3 linked regions of the Arabidopsis thaliana genome follow. The protein of the gene in region 3 interacts with the protein of the main gene of each other region in a pairwise test. Each region holds a gene or a part of one and is shown on either strand. Other genes may lie near its edges.

Region 1 (4,742 bases), on a different chromosome or scaffold from region 3:
TTATTCTTTTTAGATGTTTCCTAAAGCATCAATCTATATGTTGCATGTTGTAAGGTCACAACTTGGAACCATAAAAGAATGGTGGAGGATAGCAAGTGCGTAGAAGATAAGGATCATTTTACATGATAATCTGGATAAGACATGCGCATATACATCAAGTTTCCATCAACAAGATTTATAGTACCCAAAAGAAAGAAAGAAAAAAACTAATATTCCATCGATCTATAGAAGTTGAACAAAATAACTAAGGTACCAAGTGAAATATGAGTCAGCAAGCAAAGTTAAAAAAAAAGTTGTGTGAGACATATCACATGAGTAAATTAACAACAACCATCATCATCATGATGTAGATAGTATAAGATGCCATGAGAAGAAGTGAGGAAAAACAAATTAACCTGACAAGAAGCATCCTAAAAAATTAACCTGTCAAACAATTACCAACCTTTAAAGTGAAAAAAAAAGTTGAAAACACTAAGGCTTTGAGAGCTTAAATGTTCATAAACAATTTTCCTTTTTCTTGCCAAGATCAATCTGCAATTTTTGTGTCAAGCATGTACGAGTTATTGTTATAAATAAATCTAGAGTCGTTATGTGAGTTCTACTGTATTTTATGAAAATCGATTAACTAGTAAAATACATCAGTCTTCTTAAGAAGAGAACCTAAACACGAAACCCTCTAATAAATGCTAGATTGCATATTCTTACACATCTATATTAGTGTCAAAAACATGATTGGACTGATTTTATAGTATTGAACAAGAACGTGACTAAATTTTCAGAAATTGGAAAGAAAACAAAAACATGATATATTTCAATATCTAAATTTCACCATATATATATAAAAAGACATAGTGCATGTGAGACGTAAAAACCTTTGTAAATAAATTTTCTCTTTAAATAGTAAATAGTACCATATCAGATTAACCATTTCAGAGTGACATAATTTGTTTGTAACCGTATAGATCCGTTTTATGCATTAAAACGATCGTGAAGTAGCTGTCATACGAAAGAACTTGTCGGCAAGAGAAGCAAAGCATAAGCAGAAAAAAACATATCTTTTAGAAGCCTATCATTTTCTTACTTTTATTCACAAACACACACAATATACATTATAAGTGTTATCTACATAATCTAAACGTGTCAATACCTGAAAAAACAACAAAACTTTATTTGCACTTCTTTCATTTCATGAACAATACATAACCAGATATTAGATAGGACTTGGACTTGTGAATATGCTCTATTTAAGGCATCTTTATAGGTTATATTTAGAATCTTTTTCTTATTTCTTTTTTGAGCATATTATTAAACTATGGACTAGATCTGATGAAAGAAAGCAATCTATTTATATATTATGGTGTAAATATTATCTTTAAAAAATCCAATGGAGGAGAGTGAAAGAGAAAAGTTGAAGCATTTTGTTTGGACTATAGAGAGAGAGAAAAAAAGATCTTAACTCTCCTTAGAAAAGTACTAGGAATCAATTTTTATTTTCTGCAAAAACAAAAGTGTAAAAGAAAATTAATAATAATATATATTCCCTGATGAAGTAAGACTAAAATAATGTAACTACACAAAAATACTTTTTAGAATTTATAATATTTTATATTAATTTTTAAAAAAGGAAAGTTGATAAGATTGGATATAAGTTTGGAAGCATTTATTTGGCCAAGAATGGCTTAGCATCTCTGCAAAACCAACACAAAGCTATATTCTCTTAAAAATCAGTTCAACAAAAGAAGAACCTGAACACAGTTGGCCCACCACCACCACTACCACAATCTCCTCCTCCACCACCACCACCTAGTCACCGGAAACCAATTCATGCCCTAGATTAAGAACCAGAATCCTTTTGAGACAAGATCTATATATACACTCTACACATTTACTTATACACTTTATCTAGATATAGATGTGTGTGTGTATAAAGGTTCTTTTTCATTACTTGTTGGTTTAGTGATAAAAAGGAGGAGAGTTTTCAGTTGGGTTTTGGTTTCTTGGTGAGAGAAGAGAGAAAAAGAGAGGATGGGAAGAGGGAAAGTTGAGCTGAAGAGGATAGAGAACAAGATCAATAGACAAGTTACTTTTGCAAAGAGAAGAAATGGTTTGCTCAAGAAGGCTTATGAGCTTTCTGTCCTTTGTGATGCTGAGATTGCTCTTCTCATTTTCTCTAACCGTGGCAAGCTCTACGAATTCTGCAGCAGCCCTAGGTGAAAACTCTTTAATCTTTGATATATCTACTTTTTCCCTCAAAGTTTCTATATTTTGATCCATGTTAGGGTTTTGATTCTTAAGGATTATAAAGGATATGAAAACTTTGTTGTCTTTCTTGATTTAGTTACAATTAATTAGTTGATTAACTACGGTTTATTTATTTTGTGAGTTCATACGCATAAATCTGGCTCGTAAAGAGTGAGATTAAGTGAACGATGATCAAAGTACGTACAAAGCGTCTAAGTTGCTCTAGATGATGATTAAAGCTAGAGAGTAGAGACTATGGCTGAAAAAAGTACAGTAGATATGTGTAGAAGCTATAGAGCATATATAAATATAGTTAAAGCTTTTACACATGAGATTGAGTGTTGTTGATATTGTTTCCAAAGGATTGATCAGAGTTTCCAAAGAGACTAAGAATTGACCTCTGGATATATACACAAAGCTGTAAAAGATATAAAAAATACTTTGACTACTTCTTTAAGTTAGTATCTCTCTCAAGTACTACTTATGATCTTATTAAAGTTATAAAGAGACAACTGTGATGATACTCAATTTCACTAGCTACTTATCATTTCCACATAAATTTATTTTATTTTTCTTGCACAAACATCATGAGATTGATACCCATTTTGATGTTCTTGATGTTTTTACATGGAGATGCTTTTAAGGTTTTTTTTCTATATTATTCTCATAATGAAATTTAAAGTTTGGTTTATCAATATATGTTAAAAGTTAAAATGATCATTTGTTTTTATGAAAAGTGGTATGGCGAGGACGGTTGATAAGTATAGAAAACATAGTTATGCAACAATGGATCCAAATCAATCAGCTAAAGACTTGCAGGTACATATCTTCTCTTTCAATCAAAGACTGACCTCAAAGTTGTCCTTAATTTTATTTTAAATTGGCAGGATAAGTATCAAGACTACTTGAAGCTTAAATCAAGAGTTGAGATCCTTCAACATTCACAAAGGTACTTATATATCCTAGTCCATCTAAATGTAACTATATATGCTCTTGTTACTAAATGTTTCTTCTTTTTAGGCATTTGCTAGGTGAAGAGCTATCCGAGATGGATGTGAATGAGCTTGAGCATCTCGAACGCCAAGTAGATGCATCACTAAGACAAATAAGATCTACCAAGGTATATTTCTAAGCTTACAAAATCGACAAATTTTGTTTCGAATCTTTCATCCTAAATCGTTGTTTCGTTTTCATTGCCAGGCTCGGTCTATGCTTGATCAACTATCTGACCTCAAAACTAAGGTACATACTTTATATAATAAAAGTTGCACAATATCCAAATACAACAAGCTCTCATTTTCTCAATTTACAGGAGGAAATGTTATTGGAAACCAATAGAGATCTTAGGAGAAAGGTAGCTATCGGAATCTTTTACCGCAAGAAACTGAAACCATTTGTCATTTGAAATCTTCCTATTCTTTCTTTCTCAGTTGGAGGACAGTGATGCAGCACTTACTCAATCGTTTTGGGGAAGTTCTGCTGCAGAACAACAACAACAACATCAACAACAGCAACAAGGCATGAGCTCTTATCAATCAAACCCTCCAATTCAGGAAGCAGGTTTCTTCAAGCCTCTACAAGGCAATGTAGCATTGCAAATGAGGTATCTACAAACAAATAGTCAAGACCCTTGAATTATTTTACCTAATCAGAAATACTTAACATTTGTTTGTGCTTCTTTATTGTTTTGATATAATTAGCAGTCATTACAATCACAATCCTGCAAATGCAACCAACTCTGCAACAACATCACAGAATGTTAATGGATTCTTCCCTGGATGGATGGTCTGAAAACAATACATATCTATATATGTACACATATGTGTGTTTTATAGATCAAAGATCATTGCTTGTGTCATTTGATTTTTGCCAGAGAAACATAGTTCATTATTACAAAACTTTGTTATATAATCAAGGCTCTAATGTCAAACACCAGATTATTACTTTTTTGTTCTTTGTTTTTTGGCTCTCTTGAAATATAAAATATTGTTTTGGGAGCTTATTTTTGTTTTATTTTTGAACATCATATGAATTTGTTAGATTATGACAAAAGTTCTCCGGATTAGAACATGTCTCAAGAATTGGATTCTGAAACAAGTAGTGCTCTGCATTTGTATTAAGATTGTGATGTTGATAATTAAAACGACTAAATAATTTTTGCCAGGTTGGATTATAATGAACAAGTCCAAAATGTTATTTTAATTTTATTTTCATGGCAAGCACGTTCAAGAAATGGCTCCAACCAAAAACCAAACAAACATAACAGTATTTAAAACACAACTAAAACCTCAAAGAACAGAGAGAAGAAAAACAAGAATTAAGAAAATGGGGAAACCAGCAGGGTATTGGGTAAATAAGATTAGGACATCATTCAAAGGAGGATCATCGTCGAGCAAATCATTAGATGAAGGAAGTACTTCGGGTTCGAGAAAGAACGGTTCGAAGCATAGTAAGAATCTGAAAGCAGAGGATGCTAATAAGAATGGTGAAGGAGGAGGAGT
Region 2 (4,547 bases), on a different chromosome or scaffold from region 3:
TCATCTTGTATTTGAATTTTGCACAATATATAATGTGATGATTCTATGTTTGTTTGTAAACTTATGTGCAAATGGGCGATAACTAAACGTTCGTAAAATAGTTACATGTACTAATTAATCGAAGCACATAAATATTATATATATATATATGTATATATATGAAACGATTCATTGATTTTAAGTATTTAATTTATTTTTTAAGATTTTAGTTGTCTTAACCTCGTACGAAGAAGAAGGATATATACTATTTAACTCGTGGAGATGATGAGGTTCGGATATTTTTCCTTAAGACCACAAGACACTGACACGCCGACTGATCGATAAAAAAAGTTAAGGCCTACAATACAAAAGAGTAGCAGATTCCCTTACACGTGTTTCATTTATGATCTGTTAATTAACTCCATTGAGCTTCAATATCTCATTAGCCGAAAATTAACTTGACGTTTTCCATTGAACTGTCGAAAAAATTTGTAGAAAAAGTGAAATGTCCCCTATTTAACTTCCAAGTTTAAAACCTAAAATTAATTAGTTACCGTTTTGATGAATAACGTTGAAAGAATCGTCAACATATCAAATGATGCAGATACAACAAGGGACAAAAACATCAAAAAATTGATTAAAAATAATCATTCAGATATTAGCAATTAAACTGTAAGTAAATGATTGCATATATATATATGAATGAATACATATATATGTATCAAACTGTAAGTAAATAATACATACATATATATATATATATATAGGAAAATATCTCATTTTTCAATCATTTTCAGAGGTAAACATTTTTAAAGACAATTTTACCTAACCCAACATCTTACTATATTTAACCAGCTCTGCGAGAGCTTCAAAACAATGATGAATTTTCTGCCCCTTTTCATTGACCAAATAAAAGTTCACAAATTTGTAAAACCAATCAGCATTAATTTCGCACGTAGTTTACTTCGTCCGATTTTAGATCAAGTAGACATTTTAACCAAACATATTGAATCACGGTTCAATCAAGATACATGGTTGCGAGTATAATATATCAATCCTTCACCGCATTAGAAAACCAAATTTTCTATTTAATTTAGCGTGTTCTTTTAATGAACGCAGCGTCAGCGACAACAAAGAAGAAAAACAGATCTGCGGCGAGAAAAAATACATTGATTAGAGAAGAACTGCCGCAAAAGATGTACGATGATGAAGATTGACGTGACGCTGCTTAATTTCAGCGATTCATTTGATGCAATTGCAATTCATCGGCTATCATCGGCGACTCATCCGAAATTGTTATTTTCAAGCTTTAATGTCGTTTTACTTACCTACTACTTCTCATGACACGTCGTTTCAGTCCGCTATTGCCGCTGGCGCAGCATCAAATAAAAGAACACGCTAGGATAGCTTGAAAAGGGTACAATAACTAGTTATAGAAGAACATGAGCCATAACATTTGGAAACAAAATGAGTTAGTTTGAATTTGAAACATCGCGCTCTATGTAAAAAAAGCAAAAAAGAAAAGAAAAGAGTCCTAATAATTAAAAAGAGAAAATAAAAGGAATTTTCAATGGTCCGACTGTTACAAGTAGATTTCCATTTTTAGGAATCTAGCTATAACGATGAAGACAGAGTTATCATTTTGTTCCATCAAATATATGACGATATTTATATTTAATTTCTTCAACAACAAATATCTCATTTGTTGGTGCCACTTTCACATACTTAGGACGACTAATAATTAATTAAAAAGGATTTATGTAATAACGCACCATATTAACCTGTAACAAGAAGAATTGAAAGTAATACAAGTTTATATATATAGCAACACATTTATCGTGTACGATACTTTATTCCTTTTATCTATTCTTGAAAAAAAGTTACCAATTCTTGAGAAGAAGAAGAAATCAGAATCAAGAGAAGGAGAGAGAAAGATGGGAAGAGGGAGAGTGGAGATGAAGAGGATAGAGAACAAGATTAATAGACAAGTGACCTTCTCAAAAAGAAGAAACGGTTTGCTGAAGAAAGCTTATGAGCTTTCTGTTCTTTGCGATGCCGAAGTTGCTCTCATCATCTTCTCAAGCCGTGGCAAGCTCTACGAGTTTGGTAGTGTTGGGTATATATATCTTTGCTCCTTTGAACCAACTTTTGTGCTATATATATTAAGATTCATCCAATAAAGCTATGTTTTTTATATGAAAATTGATTAATAAATGGGTTCATTTGCTACTTGTTACATCGTACGATTCAAGAGTCGGATCATGTTTTGATCTTGTGGTTATTCTTAATGGTTGTATCGTTTATCCTGTGGTAATTAGGGTTCATCGTTATATCGTGTCTCCCTCTTGGATCCTTTATCATAAGCTAATAGGTCCTTCCGTACGTTATAATTTGTTGATTTCCCATTCATGAATTCCTTTGATTCTTTAATCTTACAGATGACAGGTTTCAAATGGGTTTAATTCTAGCTTTAAAAAAAAAAAAAACAAACAAACTAGGGTTTTCCCTTTTAGATCAGTGTGTAAGATATATAACTTGAGTTCTTGTCGTAAGAAGAATCTTTATTTGTTGAATCGAGCTAATGATCTCCCATTTTTGTTTTAATTGAATTTGTAGAATTGAAAGCACAATCGAACGGTATAATCGTTGTTACAACTGCTCTCTAAGCAATAATAAGCCTGAAGAGACTACACAGGCAAGTGTGTGTACGTACTTTGAATATATTTACAATTATTGTTTCTGATGATAATGATTCTAGCTAACTCTATTTTCTCAAATTCTCATGTTACTATATATATGCATTTCATATAATCTATATGGTGCAGAGTTGGTGTCAGGAGGTGACAAAGCTTAAATCCAAATACGAATCTCTTGTTCGTACTAACAGGTCTAGTAATTAAGAGTTTTCTATAACCCCTTGAAATTAAATCGTTATTGTCATCTTCCATTATATATGTATAGTTACAAATCTATTGTTATGGGTGTTGATAATTGCTAATTATAAAAGGAATTTGCTTGGAGAAGATCTTGGAGAAATGGGTGTGAAGGAACTGCAAGCGCTCGAGAGGCAGCTCGAAGCCGCTCTTACCGCGACTCGACAGCGCAAGGTCACATGATCTAGACTGGTCTTGTTTCATTAAAAATATATTCATAACTAAAACATTCAACTAAAATATGCAGACACAAGTTATGATGGAAGAAATGGAAGACCTTAGGAAAAAGGCAAGTTATATAAAAATGTTTCATACCAAACTGCAAAACATATATGCATATCAATCAATCTATGTTTGAAATGGCAGGAGAGGCAACTAGGAGACATAAACAAACAACTCAAGATTAAGGTTTTTATTTCTAGACATCGCAAAATTATATTATAACTTCTCATATAATTAATTATGACATTTGGATCTTAACTAAACATAAATTTTCAATAGTTTGAAACGGAAGGCCATGCTTTCAAAACCTTTCAAGACTTATGGGCAAACTCGGCGGCATCGGTGGCCGGGGATCCAAACAATTCTGAATTTCCGGTAGAGCCTTCTCATCCTAATGTATTGGATTGCAACACCGAACCCTTTTTACAAATAGGGTAAGAATATACCATTTTTCCCGGCCCTTACAAATAAATGGATAGAAATAAGATATGATTATAAGACTTGTTTGGTATTTGGATTAGGTTTCAACAACATTACTACGTGCAAGGTGAAGGGTCTTCGGTATCAAAGAGTAACGTGGCAGGTGAGACTAATTTCGTCCAAGGTTGGGTTCTTTGACTCTCTGTTGATTAGACCACGATGCCACGGTCAGGCCAATTTCAGCTCTCTACAGTTGTTCTTTTTTCAAATTAGATTTCTGGGTTTTTTTTTCCTATAAGAAAAACTTTTGCACTAGATGTTTGTCATTTAATTTCCAGCTCGTGTGAATCTATATTCGCATGTATGTGCTTTGAAGAATTTCTCCTCTTACTCCTACTTGATCTAAAACATTATTTTTGTTTTGGTTTTACCAACATTTTCCAAATGAAATAAACTTTAATAATTGTTCTAAAATCAATTAAATGAATAGATTTATTTGGCATGAATACTATTAAATCTCAGACATATATTTATGAATGCTGAATTGTGAATAGTAGGAACAAATAATAAATCGTGCGACGTCGAATCAATTGGGTGACGAATAATCAAAGGAGGATTCAGCTCAACTACGCAAGTAGGAGTAATGAACTTCCGAAACAATTGGGTGAGTAAATGAAATCAACCTGTAACTAAAAAAATGAACGAATAATAAAATGCCACGTAGTTGACCTTGGAAAAAGCGCAATGATATGAAGCCAGGTAGGACCCACATTGCTGTTTCTTGATTTGACTTTTGGAAGAGAAGAGCTCCTCTTTCTTTAGCAAACTTTACTGTTGTTGATATATGTCTTTTCCATAAAGTCTTCATATTTATTGAGGTTTTTTTTTTTTTTTTACATACTAGAATTTAAGTTTTTAATACTCTCTTATATTTATGGGCTGTTATCGCAAAGTAGGCCCTTTTATAAGTGGGCCATTACAAAATAAATTCAT
Region 3 (3,251 bases):
CTTATTTAAGATATCTATAGTTAAACTTTTGAACATGACCTATAACTATAAGTAGCTTAAGTCGCCCCTAACTAAACATATAAATAAACATGAAAATTAGTGTTTTATGGCAGATGAAAGTTATTTATTATCTGAGCCAAAAATATACGGTGAGCTTGAAATAAAATTTAGCATTTAAAGAGAATGGAAATTAAACTACTACTGGATTGAATTATTTACCATTCTCTCATGTAATATCTTCTACTCTATAGTATTTTTATAACTATTTGAAAACATTTAATCAAAAATCAATAAATATGCTATTTATTTTAGAGAAATTTCTACATTTTGTAAATGTAATTGATAAGAAGAGAACCAGTCAAACAAAGTCTAATTAACGATGTGCATTCTTGTTTTTCTTATTTTTTGGTTATTGTTAGACCTCCATTTTTTTTGGATTCTCTCTCATTATAATCATACCACACAAAAAAAGTATGAGAGAAATAAGAGAAAGGTTCTTAAATAAGAACTTTTGGTATATTAACTTGAACTTTGGGTATATTACACTTGTCTTTTTTTAATTGGTTCATTTTTTGCTTTTAAACCAAAAATTAATATATAATTAAACTATATTTAAATATTAATACTTTAAAGTTTAGATATTTCTTTGGGTATGTAAAAACAACTGGAAGTTTTCTATACGTAGTCTAAAATCTTTAATTTCCCTATTTACAGCTTATAATTAGCTGGCAATGCAATGAAATATTCTAACCCAATAAAAGAAAAAGTATTCTCCAAAAGGTATAATATATGCATGATTTAACAAATTATCTCTAAACTAATTTATTACTGAGCCAAAAGAGGAAAGAAATCCATCTATTAATGTATAAAACAGTTATTTTATCCAAATTTCCTTTTAATTAGAATCAACTTAATGATTAAAAAAAATCAGGTGGACCTGCAGGCCATGACAAATGTTCTTTTAATATATTTATTAAAAAAGTTCATATAACCAAATCTGAGATTTAAAAAAATATATTTTTCTCTAATACTCTACTATTATATATTTTCATTTGTTATTATTGTAAGTATCAAATATTTTTACTAAATTAATTAATATAAATTTTAATGATATTTTATTATCTTATTATATTGGTTTACAAACTTCTTGGTATGTTCTCCTTTAATGTATATAGGTAGTTTAAAGATTTTCTTAGAAATAGAACACATATTTCGTGAGATTCATGTTACATTGTTTTCAAAAACTTTCGTGCTTTCTAAATATTTCGTAAGACTCACGTTATATTGTTTTCATTTTTTTTCTATAAATAAACAACTCTTTTGAGCTTGTATATATTCATGATTTTACATGTAAATTGAAGATGGAGTACTCTATTTAAAAAGAAGAAAAAAAAACACTTCAAACTATTACTAAATTTCATAGTTTATAAACAAAACTTTAAATTACTCTTAAAAGAAAAGTGAGAGTAATATAGGAAGATAAACTATTCTTAGTAAAAAGAAAAGAAAATCTATTCTTAGACATAGCTTTAATTAGTGGCCTCGTCAATTAATGAGACAGTAAACACAAAACAAATCTAATGAGTCCAGCAACGTGAAAAGCCACGTACTGTGTAAAAGCACAATTTTCATTTCTATATAAACAAGACAGTCTTGGGCCAAGAAAGTAAACAAAACACACACCAAAGAAAAGAAAAACAAAGATAATGAGGTCGAAAATTAAGTTATCACTCATAGCTAATAAGACCTCAAGGAGAACCACATTCAGGAAGAGGAAGGGAGGGATAACGAACAAACTCCATGAGCTAACAACTCTCTGCGGCGTCAAAGCATGTGCGGTAATCTCCAGTCCGTACGAGAATCCAGTGGTGTGGCCGTCAACCGAAGGTGTTCAAGAGGCGGTTTCCATGTTTATGGAGAGGCCGGCGACAGAACAATCCAAGCTGATGATGAGTCATGAGACCTACTTGCAGGACAAAATTACCAAAGAAACAAAGAAACTGGAGAGTCTACGTCGTGAAAACCGAGAATCTCAGCTTAGGCAATTTATGTTTGATTGTGTTGAAGGTAAGATGAGTGAGCATCAGTATGGTGCAAGGGACCTTCAAGATTTAAGTCTTTATATTGATCACTATATCAATCAGCTTAATTCAAGTGTCATGCTCCTTACAAACAATGGTGCGTCTTCTTCTTCCTTTCCTCCTCCGCTTCATACTTCAGTTGCGGGTGCGGGTGCGGGTGCGGGTGCTGCTCCTCTTGTTGTTGCGGGTGCGGGTGCGGCTCCTCTTGCTGTTGCGGGGGCGGGTGCGAGTCCTCTTGCTGTTGCGGGTGTGGGTGCGGCTCCTCTTGCTGTTGCGGGTGCCGGTCCTCCTATGGCTCAGAATCAGTATGAGCCGATTCAGCCCTATATCCCTACTGCTTTTAGTGATAATATTCAATACCAAGCTCCTGTGGATTTTAATCATCAGATCCAACATGGAATCTATGATAATCTCAGTTTGGATCCAAATCATCAGTATCCGTTTCAAGATGATCCATTCATGGAGATGTTGATGGAATATCCTTATGAACAAGTGGGTTATGCTGCAGAGCATGCACACATCCCTTTCATGAACGGAAACTACTACAACTACCACCAACCACCAACCGTTGGTCTTACTACCACCGGTCACATGCCTTCCAACAACGCCACCACCACCACCACCACCAACACCACCGTTGTGTGATGTGTTTCAGTAGTTTGCATTTGTGTTTTGTCCATTTCAAAAGACCAATCTCTAATAATGTCTTTTCTTTTCAGTTAATTGTTGTAAGAGTTGAAGGTTTTACCTTTAAGTCAGTTATATTTTTATGTATTGGGTAATGTATTTCTGCGCCGTAGAGCCGGATATTTCAATTATATTTGAAGAAGTTTGGTCATAAATTTGTTTTTACTTTGTTTTTTGTTCTTAAAATACATAACTAAATAGATCTGCTAAAATCAAATATATTTTGTTTCATAGAAAATCTTACTTTGGATATATTATTCGCAAAAACATCAATACTCTGTATATCTCTTTCTCAATCCATAATTTATTTACTTCCCACACCTACCTATATAGCGAGCAAATGAACACACTAAAGAAGTAAAAACATGAACATAAATAATGAACACACGTCTCAGCAAACCCAAAAGATTAACAATACAAACTGTAGCTTGTTTAGTGTTGAAAATTTGAAAAATCAACATGATAAAATAATGAAACTAAAAT

The links. The genes of interacting proteins can lie anywhere in the genome.
Region 1: the proteins of AGL86 (region 3) and SEP4 interact in a two-hybrid assay, tested with the Arabidopsis thaliana proteins (one large-scale study listed by BioGRID).
Region 2: the proteins of AGL86 (region 3) and AGL6 interact in a two-hybrid assay, tested with the Arabidopsis thaliana proteins (one large-scale study listed by BioGRID).

What each region holds. Positions count from the first base shown.
Region 1 is NC_003071.7:1,127,597-1,132,338, forward strand, and holds SEP4 (K-box region and MADS-box transcription factor family protein), read left to right. Parts: upstream 1-1,671; 5' UTR 1,672-2,025; coding exon 2,026-2,210; intron 2,211-2,978; coding exon 2,979-3,060; intron 3,061-3,128; coding exon 3,129-3,190; intron 3,191-3,261; coding exon 3,262-3,361; intron 3,362-3,441; coding exon 3,442-3,483; intron 3,484-3,553; coding exon 3,554-3,595; coding exon of another isoform or gene 3,596-3,646; exon of another isoform or gene 3,647-3,671; coding exon 3,672-3,844; intron 3,845-3,941; coding exon 3,942-4,032; 3' UTR 4,033-4,242; downstream 4,243-4,742. Other genes in the region: MRH6 (Adenine nucleotide alpha hydrolases-like superfamily protein), read left to right, coding at 4,567-4,742. UniProt on the Arabidopsis thaliana protein: Probable transcription factor that binds specifically to the CArG box DNA sequence 5'-CC (A/T)6 GG-3'. Plays an important role in the determination of flower meristem identity. Involved in the specification of sepal identity.
Region 2 is NC_003071.7:18,802,540-18,807,086, forward strand, and holds AGL6 (AGAMOUS-like 6), read left to right. Parts: upstream 1-1,650; 5' UTR 1,651-1,913; coding exon 1,914-2,095; intron 2,096-2,595; coding exon 2,596-2,674; intron 2,675-2,804; coding exon 2,805-2,866; intron 2,867-2,986; coding exon 2,987-3,086; intron 3,087-3,159; coding exon 3,160-3,201; intron 3,202-3,278; coding exon 3,279-3,320; intron 3,321-3,413; coding exon 3,414-3,568; intron 3,569-3,655; coding exon 3,656-3,752; 3' UTR 3,753-4,047; downstream 4,048-4,547. UniProt on the Arabidopsis thaliana protein: Probable transcription factor. Forms a heterodimer via the K-box domain with AG, that could be involved in genes regulation during floral meristem development.
Region 3 is NC_003070.9:11,318,003-11,321,253, reverse strand, and holds AGL86 (AGAMOUS-like 86), read left to right. Parts: upstream 1-1,706; coding exon 1,707-2,726; downstream 2,727-3,251. UniProt on the Arabidopsis thaliana protein: Probable transcription factor.